2 linked regions of the Drosophila melanogaster genome follow. The protein of the gene in region 2 interacts with the protein of the main gene of each other region in a pairwise test. Each region holds a gene or a part of one and is shown on either strand. Other genes may lie near its edges.

Region 1 (7,992 bases), on a different chromosome or scaffold from region 2:
GAGAGCTGGAGAGAGCGAGCCAGCGAATGAGCGAGATCGGCTTACAAGACGGACTTACGGCGTTGCCAGATAGGCAAAAGCTTGTAAGCTCAGCTGTTTGTATTGTAGACCCCAAAACTTAATTGACTGAAAAATAAAAAAGAAAAGGTAGAACTCAAATTCCAGATACAGCTAAATACGCAGCGAAGACATTTTCCATAAAGCTAATTATAGACCTTTTGCGGGCGGGGGGCATCCCACGGGGGTTTCTCCAAAGAGCAGCGCAACCTGCACTGAACTTGCCCCCCACAAATAATATTAAAATATTGAATGACCCATCTGAACTCGCAATTCAGCGTTTTGTTTCTTTTCGAGTCAATTTTACTTTTTTTCTGCATGCACACGTTTTTTTTCTCCTTTTTTATCAAAACAAAAAACAAACACTTTCGGCATGTCAATTGGACTGTGGCACCCACACACGCGCAGCCCCTTTAGAAGGATCTAATTGGAAACAGTTAGCACTTACATCCTTGCGGCGACGGGCTCGCTTCTTTTCCGACATTTTCTAGCAAGTGTGACGATCTGCGGGCTCAAAATTGATTCTTTCAATAATTTTGATAATAATTCTGCCACACACGCACCACATAAACATCCACGATAGGGATGGAACAAAAGTCGATGTTCACGCGATGCTATCGATGTTTCCAGCAACTCCGTGAAGCGATTATTTCCTATCGCTGGAACCACTAAAAATGGGAACTAGTTGTTTTTGAATTATTTTAATGTTTCATATTCATAGGTTAAAAGGATCATTTAGCAACAAAAAAATATGAAATCAATATTTTTAGAAGGTATTGAATTTTCTTAACTAATTTTATGATTATACAAATAATAAAATTGTGTCGCGAAGAAAACCTCCCATTTCCTTTACGGTAATAAAAAACAATACAAAATAAGTAAAAATATACCTTTCATACTAATCGAAAAGGTTAACCAAGTTGTATATAACTTTAATATTATGAAATTCTCCCAAAACACACATTTCTTTAATGTATGTCAATTTAAATAAAGTTTAAATTGCACTTACATTTTAATACTGTATTATCCAAAATATATATGAACCATATCAAGCAAAACGTGAATATTGCAATGCGAACTCAATTTAATTTCCTTACATCCTCTATTAAAATTATCTTTTTATTAATCTTTGTTTTACAACAAAATACAGACTAAATAATAAGTAAAATATATTATTTATTATATATTCTTATTATTATTATTAATAGCGACCCACGCAAAGGGTTCGATCAAAGTTTACTCTATTTTGTTTTCTTCCGGTTGTTGTGTAGTTTACGTTTTCGTATCGTTTGCGTATCGGTTGTGGTGCGTTCTGTACCGTTTTTTCCGTTTTAGGTTGTGTCTCGTTTGTTGCAGTGACAGATGATGGGGAGAGATGGCTAAAACTAAACCAATCTATCGTTACCGTCACTCCAAATATGTTTGCCATTCTACGCAGTATGATCGATTAGCCTACTATTTACTCATAGAAAAAAAGGGGATTTTAAATGTATACAATTTTAGGACTGGAGTAAATGCACAAAAAGTGGGAGGCTGGGAGGTTGGATCGACACACATTGGAGGGTTCCATACTTCGCTCGGTTTCTCAAAATCGGCGTTGTCTTTCACAAGTATGCTTTGTACATTTTATTCGGATGCAGTATTCTATACACTTACAAGTTATGTATGGACATGCGTAAAAATGATATTTGGAAAGCAAAACCTTACACATATAAAATCGGAAACACGGCGCCCTGGCCTCCTCCCTCCTCTCTGGGGATTGCGTTTCACCCGTCAAAGAATAAAATACAAAAAAACTCTAAACTTGATTGAAGTGATCCCGGAAAGATTGTGCTCTTCATCCGCCAGCTGTTGAACACACTCACCCAAGCGCTCTTCAGTGGCTCCTGCGTTGAAAGCAGGACGACACGGTTCTGCGATTCCCGGCGAATCGTAGACATATTGCATTAAACGCTTTGCATATGGGGCGATTGGGGAAGATGCAGAAGGTTGGGGTGGTGGCGCTGCCAATCACAAGGGCAGGAGAACTCCTTGTGAACGAACGCCTCTGTCAGTTTGGATTGGTGGGTGAATAAGTGAGGGTTATGCGTTTCTATTACTGTCCTGTTTAGTTTTTTTTTTTTAAGTCAGTCGTTTGTCGGTTCTGTCGTTCTGTTCGGTGTACGCTTTAAACTAATTGATAAAACATAGTTTAAACGTTAGTCGTGTTAACTAAATGTTAAAATCTGGATCTTACGAATACGGCGCTCGAGTCGTGTTCACTGTAGCCCAAGCGCTTGGTGTGCTTGAACACCTCGTTGGTGATGCTGGTGACGGGCATGGACTGGTCCAGGTTCTCAGCCATGTTTAACACCAAGCGCAAGTCGCGTTGCATGTGGCTCAAAGGCTGCTGGGGATTGAAGTCACCCTTGGCCATTTCTGCAAAGGAATTCAAAATAGGATAAGATAAACACTAGGAAATAGCCACGGTGCTATCCATACCTTTGCCCTTAGCCAGCAGCATGGGTGATTTCATTGAAGTCAAATCGAAAATGTCTATGATGTCGTTCAGAGAGATCGAGAACCGATCAGCTGCAAAAGCAATAAAAAAAAAGATCAATTAGTTAAGGCTGCTTACTGCTAACAATATACAATAAAACCTACCAAGTGCTAACGCCTCAGCCAACCCGACCAGACTCACTCCCAAGATGGTTTGCAAAATTAGGTTTACTTTGCAGGCGTTACCGATATCTGCTAGATGTGAACAAACGACATATTTTAATAAATTGTTTCAAAGGAAATGGTCAGCAGTGCAGGCTGTACTTACTCCCCAAGAAGAAGGTGTTCTTGGCAATGGTCTTGAAGCACGAGTGGCACTCCTCGAACACTGAACGATCTCCACCGGCGAGAATGATGAGCATGCCTTCGGCAGCCTCCTGCCGAGAGCCGTGAATTTGTGCCTCAAGATAGCGACCGTTGCACTGCTTGATGCCCTCGCCAATGTCCAACGATGTGTCCGGATCAATTGTAGACATTTCAACGTAGGCCTTATTGTTCAAGTCCTTCAACTGCAGAACGCCGCAGTTGCCAAATACGAGCTAAACATCGAATAAAACGAATGCATAAATAAGAAGAATGTTAAATTACGCCATCCCTCCCAGTTGCACAATTATTTTGTATTCTAATATATTTTAATTTTATACAGTGTAAGGAAGATCGCTTTGCAAAGAGAGCGTCAGAAAATCGTCATTTTAAACTGCGTGCTTTCATTCATATGTACTTTTTAAGTTAACAAGCGCGGATGAGTCATTTGAATTTTATAGGAACCCCAAGGCCAAAATTTAAGTTTTGTTAACCACGTTGTGTTTTAGGCATTTCCCAAATTAAATATGTATATAAATGAAACCTTTTATGACTTACATCCTTGGCGCCCTTTGGATCGGACACACAGCAAAAGATAACGTCGGCAGCTTCCACAACATCCATGGGAGTGTCCTTAACCTCAGCGCCGGCTTCGGCAAACGGTTGGCACTACAAAACGAGATTGTTGTAGGATTCATGTGTGAACTTGCTATCGTAAAACTTTACCTTGTCAATGGTGCGGTTCCAGACCACAACCTTGTGACCCGTGTAGATCAAATCCTTGACTATGGTGGATCCCATCATTCCAAGACCCAGGAAGCCGAAGGTCTGCTCTGAAGGCACGATATCGCGATCGGCCAGTGTGTTGGAGCGCGAGCTCATGTCGATGACTTGGGCCTCTGGCCGCGTGACAACCGGTCGGTCAAGCAGAGCAATTGCATTCGGTGCACGCTTGGCAGCGATTGAGGCCAAGAGTGCGTCAGTCTCGACCCGACGTCTGCCAGTGGGCGTGGAGCTGGCTTCATCCGCGTCCTGCAATGCCTCCCCGGAAACATCACGCTTGCCTCGCTTGGCATTCGATGGCCCACTGGGCGACTGTTGGGCAGAGGTACGCCGTTTCTGTGCTGATTTTGCCGATCCCTTTGTCGACTTGACCGATGTAGCGGCCACGGACTTTGCTTTCGGCGTCCGCTTGCCAGCTGCCTTCGTTGTGACCGCCGGCGACGTGACTGGTGACGCTGATGAATCTGCATTGATTTCCACATCCAAGCCATCGCCCTCATCGGGGCTGCCCACCACATGGGCCACCACTCCATTGTTGCCATCGGCAGTTGCTTCCTCTCCCACAATCTCCTCGCTGTCCAGGCCATCCCGGATCTTGTCAAAATCAGCCTCGGTTGCGTGATTCGGCGCACCGCAGCTTTTGTTCACCTGCTCGTCCACCTCGGCGGGGTCGTCGATGTACTTTTCGATATCCGTCATGGCGTGTCGGAAAGCAGCGGGCTTGCTCACCTTGGCCAGTTCCTCCTTCCACGGTCCTTCGAAGGGCTTGATGTTGTTCTCCTCAATCCAGGCACTGTTAAATATTACCCATGTTATTACAGGCGCTTTTTGGGGTTGGCGTGCATTTTACTTACAAATTCCTAGATCCAAAGAAAAACACGCATTTGGTATTCGCCCGACGCTGCTGGCTGAGCAGATCAAGTGGAGGATCGACAATCTAAGGAGAGAAATCAACATTAGCTTCCACCACATCATATCTTTAAAGTCTTCAGAAACATTTTAAGCAGACAATGCATTTTACTCTATAAGGATGTGCCTATGAATTCCCTCGAACTAATCTATTCTGTGATAACCCATTTACAAGACTTTATCACGCACGAAACAAAACATATGCAAATGTTGCTTTTTCACTTCCAATTTCAATCGAAAACCACTCTTTAACTTTACATTTGAGCTAGGAATTATAAGGATTTAAAAATATATCCTCATTTTTCTAGCAACTTGCACAAAACCAATTTGATTTGATAAAACCTTAGCTGAGGTGATTCACTATCATTAGCACATTTCACAAAACTCTAAAGAACCGATTGGTATATCACAAGATTACCGATGAGAATGTTAATGTCAAATAAAAGTTAATATATTAACAAAACTCCTTTTGAACGGCATAGAATAACGAAACTGGGAACTGATATCCTTGGCAACGTCTGTGTTCAAACTCCACGCCTGCCGCGCGTCACTCCCCCTCCTCCGAGTGCACATGCTGCTTTCCAGCGGCTGTACACACGATCAAAAGCTGCTGCTCGTGGCCCCCGATAGCGGCTCCATGGAAGAGACCATTTCCTCCGCCGGCAGCGACAACAGCACAGCGGCAACAACAACAACCACAACGGCAATGGGGCAATGTGTGCAAGTGCGTGGCTGCGGGCAGAGCGGCGGCAGCGAAGCCGGCAGCGTTGAATCGAAAAGTACAGTCGAAAACAAACACAACAACATGGCAGCAGAGAAGGCGGCAGCGACGCGACGTCGACGCGGCGTAAACATTCCGATCGCCAACTGCAATGCTTACCATTCCTGGCCACGGAGTGAAGCCCTTCATTTTGGCCCTGCAAAGAAAATGCGCTATCAGAACAGGGAAAACTCATATTGGCCGCAAGGAGGAAAAGCAAGAAAAAAGGGCGCGCGCGCGAAAAAAGCGCCAACGCAGCGAAGTCGACGTCGCGCGCCCGGAATCCACGCACGTAGCTCCGGAATTATGGTCGTCATTCGGATGGAGCTACATGGATACTGCGCTGCGTGGCTGTCAAAAAGGCAGCGCTAATTGCTTTTTTATGCACACTTCACTGGCTCTTTTTTTCTTCATATTTTTTTTTCCGAGCGCCAACGGTGCGCAATTGAGGTTAGGTGTTTGCTTTGATTTTCATCTCTCGTTTTTTTTTTTTTCTTGTTTCTTCACGGCGCAGCGCAGCTGAGAATACAGCGAATATATTGATGAGTCCACGGTCCCGGCTTACCATATCAGATCCTTGGGTTTGTAAATAAATTTCTCCGTCGTATCGCCGCCCGACAGCGACAGTTTTTTATTCTTCGACATTATGTTGTCCAGGCGTATGTTGAACTTGGTTATTTTGCTGGCTTGGGCGGACGGTGCACGGAAGCTAATGGGTTTCTCGGATCGGAGCACAAATCTCGGCGTCGGGATTCAATGAATTTCGGAGATATTCGCTTGCAGGCCACCCGTATTTTTCTTTTTTTTTTCGCGTTGTGTGTGTGATGCGCTGCCGAACCGATATCTGCTCGAGCAATGCGATAGCAGGCGGGCGCCATTTTGGCTGGCAATCGGCCAGTGCTGGAAAGTGGCGGCGTTGCTACGTCATGCAATCGGACTGCCAACCCGCCTCGAACTCGGTAAATTAATATGGGTTCCGAATTAAATTATTTAATTAAGTATTACAAGTGAATATTATTATCGTGATTCAATGCAAATTCGTAAAATGCACTTGGAATCAATCCATGCTTTTTATACGCTAAATTTTTTTTTAAATACTTTATTTAATTCTAATGTTTAGATGTTAAATACAAAGGCGGGCATAAACTATTGAAATTTAATTCCATAAGAAAATAATTTCATTGATACACATTTTTAGTTGGAGATTATTAATAAATTTTGTTTTTTGGCTTATACAAATTCCGTTTAAGTAAAATAATGATAAAGATAAATTTAATTAGTATTGCACAGTAAATTCTTTATAATCTGTGCGATCTTGAGCTCGGAAAACTAACAGTTAACTACAAGTCCGTCCCCTTAGCCGAAAAATAAATTACCACACGTCCAACTCAATTTTTCTCTGATTCTCAGCACTCAGCATCAGCCATATAATCCTCATAAATATGAAACAATCATATAAAAAGAGAATAAAAAGCGATTGCTGCTGTGGTTGTGGGTTGCGGGGGGTCATGCGACAACCCTGCTCGGTAAAACTTTTCGGGTGACCTGGCAAACAAAAGGGTGAAAAAGGGAAATTGCGGCCGTTAAAGGGGTATTGTATTTGTGCTAGGAAAAGAAAGCGTGCTTTTGGGTTGAATTATTGCATTTTGTTTGGCAATTAGCAGGCGCGAAATGGGTGAGAAGGATTTATTGGGACCAGATTGCCATCAATTATAAGGGAAAAAACGTACATATGTTTCTCTAGTTTTGATCGCATACTCGCTAGCAAAAAAAAAGGGTTTAAGTACATTCATTTGTTTGTGTGTTTCAATTTGAGTTGGGGAGAAATTAAAGTTTTTTTTTTTAAATTCCGATCTGACCATTCCGATAAAAGTTGATATCGAGCTTATCTTAAAGCTTAAAACATCGATTAATTTGGAAGGCAAGAATTAGTTTCCTGCTCTTCTTCATTCTAGCTGTGCAAAAAAAGTCGGTTCCGTTGACCAATAATAGCAAATATTTATTATTCTTACTCAAGTATAATAGATTTATATGTGAACTATTGGTCGTAACTTAACTTTTTTCTGACTTCCAGACGAAAGTGTCTTGAATCTCAAGTTCCGTTCTTGTTTACGATCTTCCAATTGTGCTGACACTTTGAAAATAGCCGCTTCTCTGTTTACAAGTGGGTATGTACATGTATGCGTGTGTGAGCATGTTGTTTGGAATTGGTTGGAATATTGGAAATGATTGCCAATGGAATTCAGTCGGTTTCGCGCATATTGAAAGTTGGAACGTAGGATTTTAGTAATATGTATTTATTTCTAACTAAAATTATGTTTGCTAATTTACATTTGATTTGACTTTCAGAAAATATTGGACTGGATTGCATTTTGGATTGAAGACCCTTAACTTGGTATATTATTGTAAACATAATATAAAATTGTACGTAATACTATTAAAATATCTTTGCAGCTGTTCAACTGAGGCGATGTACAACGGCGCTACATCCAATTCCGATTCGAGTGAGTAGATTCCAAGTGATCCGATTATCATATTATTTTCCTGCATTATCCTTGATTTTTTTTTATGAAAACCACTCACTTTATCAAGGGATAATTTGGGGTGGATCGTATCGATCCAATTGCTTAGACAATTAATAC
Region 2 (4,905 bases):
CGATCAGGACAAAACAATCGATTTCCAGGAAGTTAGCGAGTTTGGCTGGGTTAATCCTGCCCACGGAAATAAGCTGCGTCTTAATGCCTCTGCCCTTCGCCATTGTTTGCAGTCGCGTCACCACATCTAAGTAACCTTCAGCCGAAAGAGTGGCCACAATGAGTCCCAGTGTTTGTGCATCCTTACACTTTTCGATGTGGAAGTAGCGACGGCGGATGAACTGAGCCGTGAGGGGATTTTTTGAGCTGAGACTGTCAGATGATCCATCGTAGATGTGCCATTGCACGGCAGCTGGAGCGGTCAGAGAGAGATTAGCGAATCGCTGGTTATCGGCGCCTATGAAAATACAAATCCTCTCAAGGTTCGTGGTCTCCCTAGTTGTCGTTGATTCTGCCTCGATGGGCGGAAACAGTTCCAGCAGCAGTTCTTTGGGCTCCAGGATCTCGGACAGCTGCTTCTTTAGCTTTTCCCCGTACACATGCTGGTACCCAATGTCCAGGTACACGCATACCTGTCGATCTATGCTCTCCGCGCGCAGACCTTGCAGCTTGCTCAGGAGAACATTCACATCCAGCGGCAACTCTGGATAAAGGTAAAGTACCGGCAGGCGGGCGGCCCTACTGCGACATGCGTTTCCGAAGTGAATCACACTGTCTGCATCCACATGGGCAGCCGCAATCTCGTCCACGCAGCAGCTTCCGTATGTGGTGTCCGCCAGGATGAAGACTTTCACGTCCTCCGGCGCAAGTAGCTCCTTCAGGCCCACACTAATTGCATTGCTGTGGGGCAGATAGTCGTCTGGGAATTGCAGGCAAACCTAGAAGAATACGCTTTAGACGGTAATTCCAAAAGCGTAGCCGATAAACACACCCTTTTGTAACCACTTTTGCGAATCCAATCTACGCTCGATCGCCGGTGGTTTTCGTTCCAGATCTGTTCCAAGGTCACCGGCTGCTCCACTTCCGCCTGACGCTCCAGGGCGGCTGTGTCCGAGCTCGAGAAAGCCGATGCTGATGTTTCGGACGAGGTCATTTCAAATCACTTTCTACTCAAGATTCCTTTGTCCAGTAAAAAAGTATCAAATGCATGCAGCAAAATAAACAAAGTCAAGATAACACCGATGCATTAGACTGGATTAGAAATTGAAACGGACAAAGAGAAACGAAACGCAACTTTGTTATACACTCACGAAGTGTATATTAGTTATATTAGAGAACGGATATATTGTAATAAATAAATATATAAATTAAAGTACAAAAAACCGAAGTCGCTAAAAGTTCCTATTCAAATGCTAGATCCCAATTTAAATCATCTGTTAGTAAATAAAAATATAAAAATCAGAATAGTTAATTTTATTTTAAACCAGTTTTGGTTTAATTTAAATTAAATAAAAACCAGAATGCCTGATAGTATTTAAAGTGTTTTCATTTAAAACATTGTTGCTTATTCCTAAAATTATAAATTAACATGTAAACTATTTAATTCAATTAACCTGAAGAAAAATAATGCATATCTGAGTTATTTATAAATTATATTAAGTAAAGCAAAAACCTTATATTCAGGAATATAAAAAAACTCATTGACCTTAGTAGAGATTCATATCTTAAAAATCGACGATTTTGCAAATTATAATTTCTTTAATGAAAGTGTATCACGTGATCAGTGTTCTTGCTAATTTGGTTGGAGGACAGACTTACCGAAGACTCAACCCCGAATACTGCGTGACCACAAAAGTTCGCTTGCTCGTTTGAATTAATTTCTGTTGAAGCGCAATAAACAATTTAAAAATTCAAAAAGTTTATAAACCTAAGTCCTGTAATGTTTTCCCCGATACAATAAAAAGCTTACTAAAGAAGACATTCAGGTACCCCCTCTTTTGACCAACGTCCAGTCACTGATCTTGACCCAAATTTAAGTTTCACGCGCCTACCAACACTTGTTGCTTTCTCCATTTCACCTACCAACATTTCACCAAACTATATTAGCAGTCCAAAAATATGAAAAACCAAAACCTTCGCTGCATCGTAACCGATTGTTATAAGAGTGGTCAACAGGATAGTAGCTCCATGTACAAGTTCCCCATAAATCCGGTTGTCCGGCAGAAGTGGTTGGATAATATTGCGGACATAAAAGATATTAACTTGTTCAATAGTCGGGTGTGTAGGCGGCACTTTGAGACACAATGTTTTGGCAAGACCAAGGTGTTTTCCTGGGCAGTTCCCACACTTTTCTTGAGTAAGTGTATCGAAGCAGCCTCCTAGATAGCTTCCTAAACCTGTTCTCTTCATGATTTAGATACAAAAGAGGTAGTGCACCAGGTCAGTAAGCCAAGCAGGAACTCCTTCATTCGCAGATGCAGCGTCAGGAACTGCTCCTCACGATCTCCTCCAGAACGACTGCACTTCTTTCCCTCGAATCCCGAAATGCGCAAGGCATGGATGGAAATATGTCGGCTTACGGTGGACAACAAGTGGCTGTTTATTTGCGGCAGACACTTTCGCCGGACTTATCTGCCAAACAAGGGAAACCTTAGAAAGGACGCCATTCCAGAGTTCCACTTAGGAACGGAGGAGGAGGATCCCCTCGGAAAGAGCATCAAAAGTATGAAATCATGTGCTAATAGAAGTAATATCAGTTTCAAGAGCGAGGATTCTGGCATTGACGAGGAAAGCTTTAAGGAGAGTAAGCCTCATAATAATCCATGCGCCAATTGCCTTGATCTCCAACAGCAATTGGCAGCAGCTCATCTTCGCATTCAGCAACTTGAGGAAAGAAGGCAAGAGGAGACAGACAGTGATGATGATGAGGAGGGGGAGGAGGAGGAGCACATATTCATGCTAATGAAGTAGACTATTGCTTCCCTTTATCCCTTAAAGTATATTTATTTTAGTGCATATCCAGTTCGAGTTCAATCAGTCGCTTGTTCGTGTCGTTGGGCAGGCGATACGGCATAGTTGCTGCCATGTTGGACAGGGCTTTGGCTCGCTGCCGGAGTTGCTGCATCTGGGTCTGTTCCAGCGAGCTGCCTGATCCTGCCTTCAGCTGCTTGTACTGCTTCTGGGCGATCTCCATGGCGGCCACTATAACGTCGGGCAGGACCTTGATTACCTCGCCGCTAAGTTGCTTCACATTGCCCAGTACAACATCGACATCGTCCAACGTATTGGGCACCAACTGGGTTTGCCTGAGCAGATCCAACGCTGCATTAAATTTTCCGTCATGATAGAAGTTGAAGAAGATAAGCAGATCCTGCAGCAGCACAAAGCTGCTCTTCATCTTGGGTTCCACATCGATGCTGTCGCTAGCCAGCAGCTGGTTGAATCTCTGAGCGTCTTGGCCAAGGCGTTCCCTTAACGATCCACCTAGCGTGGGCAGGTGCACCACCTGGGCCATCAGAATGCAGATGTGCTTCACGGCCAGGTTGTACTTGCCCGCCATTTCGTACAGCCGCGCCGACATCTCAAAGTTACCCAGCGCAGCCAGTTCGTCGCCCACCTGAGCGGCCATGGTGCGCGTGTCGAACTCCGGGCATTCGAACTGGCGGAAGAGTCCACTAAAAACACAAGAGACTAGACTTTAGACTGACTGAATAAATGTAACATTGCATATAATCACCTGTTAACATCGTTTTGGTCACTCGACTGCCGCTTGCCGAATATCAGATCGAAAATGGTGGTATCAAAGACTCCGCTGTCCACCACAAGATCGCACACACAGGCCATAAACATGTTCCGGCCCTTGGAATCCTTCAGACAGCGCAGTGTGTAGTAGTAATGCAGCGCCTCCGAGGTGTCTGTCCGCTCAAATCGCTGCACATACTGTCGGATAAGCCGAGTTAGGTTCAAGCGCCTCAGTGGCTGCGGATCTTTAATATCGATCGAAAGCAGGGGCTGCGACACACTGCGCGCACTGCCTAGAAGTCCTAGCTCAAACAGCGCTATGGCCATGTGAACTGCATGTGCCCGATTTTCATCTTGGCGCGCCAGGAACTCGATGGCGGCTTCAAACTGGCCGGTTAATGCAAGGGTCTCGAAGTAGAGATACGGCTGCTGCCTAGCATTGAAGTACTTTTCACCATACTGTTCCAAAATCATTGACTGCAGTTTACCATAGTTGTCAGCGTCACCGGGCTGTATCATGGCCAGCCGCATCCAAAGGAAGTCGTCTATGGTCTTGGCCACTTCTCCGTGTACTTCATTGACATCGCAGCCCAAAAGGATGCAGTAAACGGCCTTCTTATAGGCATCGGTGGAGTTGCGTATTTTGTTGGCGTACTGCAGTCGCAGTTGGTTTTCTATTTTGGAATTGGTTTCGCCGGCATTGCGATCTGCAACGAGCTGGGCAAACTCATCGTGGCTACTGCCCGCTTCGCGCAGGAACTCAACCGCCACCTTAACCGCTCCGCAGCGCAATCCGTAGTAAACCAGCGGCCATAAGGGTATTTCGCGGACGGTGTCCACAAGTCCGATGGTCTGCTGTGCTCTGAACCGGTGGTTTACATAGGCCACAACCAACTGATAGCTGTTGTTGGCATAGGATCCACCGACTTGGGAGCACATGAACACACGATAGCGCCGTTCTAGGTACGATTTAGCATAGGTAACAAACTCCGGTCTTTGCTGTCGGCTCTTGATGGGGTCACTGCGCAGCGGCTCGCTGATTTGGGTGACGCAAGCCAGCAGGGTCCACATGTCCGTAAGCCGGCAATCTCCGAAGCTCTGGGACAGATGAGCGAACTTTTGGACGAGATTGGGTCGATGGCTGCTCTTAAGCAGCAGTTCATTGTAATGCCGCAACTCTTGCGCATACACTAGTTCCAGCGGATCGAGGCAGGAACGTGGCTGACAAAGCGGATTTACGATGGTGGGTTCCGGCAGCCGTTGTAGGTCGATAAAGTTCTGTGAC

What was found. The genes of interacting proteins can lie anywhere in the genome.
Region 1: the proteins of CG14860 (region 2) and Ndf interact in a two-hybrid assay, tested with the Drosophila melanogaster proteins (one large-scale study listed by BioGRID).

The regions. Positions count from the first base shown.
Region 1 is NT_033779.5:10,002,050-10,010,041, reverse strand, and holds Ndf (Nucleosome-destabilizing factor), read right to left. Parts: upstream 6,211-7,992; 5' UTR 5,996-6,210; coding exon 5,916-5,995; intron 5,733-5,915; exon of another isoform or gene 5,508-5,732; coding exon 5,471-5,507; exon of another isoform or gene 4,999-5,470; intron 4,619-4,998; coding exon 4,536-4,618; intron 4,475-4,535; coding exon 3,625-4,474; intron 3,568-3,624; coding exon 3,457-3,567; intron 3,135-3,456; coding exon 2,864-3,134; intron 2,791-2,863; coding exon 2,701-2,790; intron 2,629-2,700; coding exon 2,539-2,628; intron 2,476-2,538; coding exon 2,276-2,475; 3' UTR 1,153-2,275; downstream 1-1,152. UniProt on the Drosophila melanogaster protein: Nucleosome-destabilizing factor that is recruited to genes during transcriptional activation and colocalizes with a subset of trimethylated 'Lys-36' histone H3 (H3K36me3)-enriched regions. Binds DNA (in vitro).
Region 2 is NT_033777.3:14,892,838-14,897,742, forward strand, and holds CG14860 (uncharacterized protein), read left to right. Parts: upstream 1-1,946; 5' UTR 1,947-1,997; coding exon 1,998-2,235; intron 2,236-2,295; coding exon 2,296-2,849; 3' UTR 2,850-2,886; coding exon of another isoform or gene 2,887-3,553; 3' UTR 3,554-3,609; downstream 3,610-4,905. Other genes in the region: Dph2 (diphthamide biosynthesis 2), read right to left, coding at 1-817, 871-1,032; Nup93-2 (nucleoporin 93kD-2), read right to left, coding at 2,887-3,553, 3,616-4,905.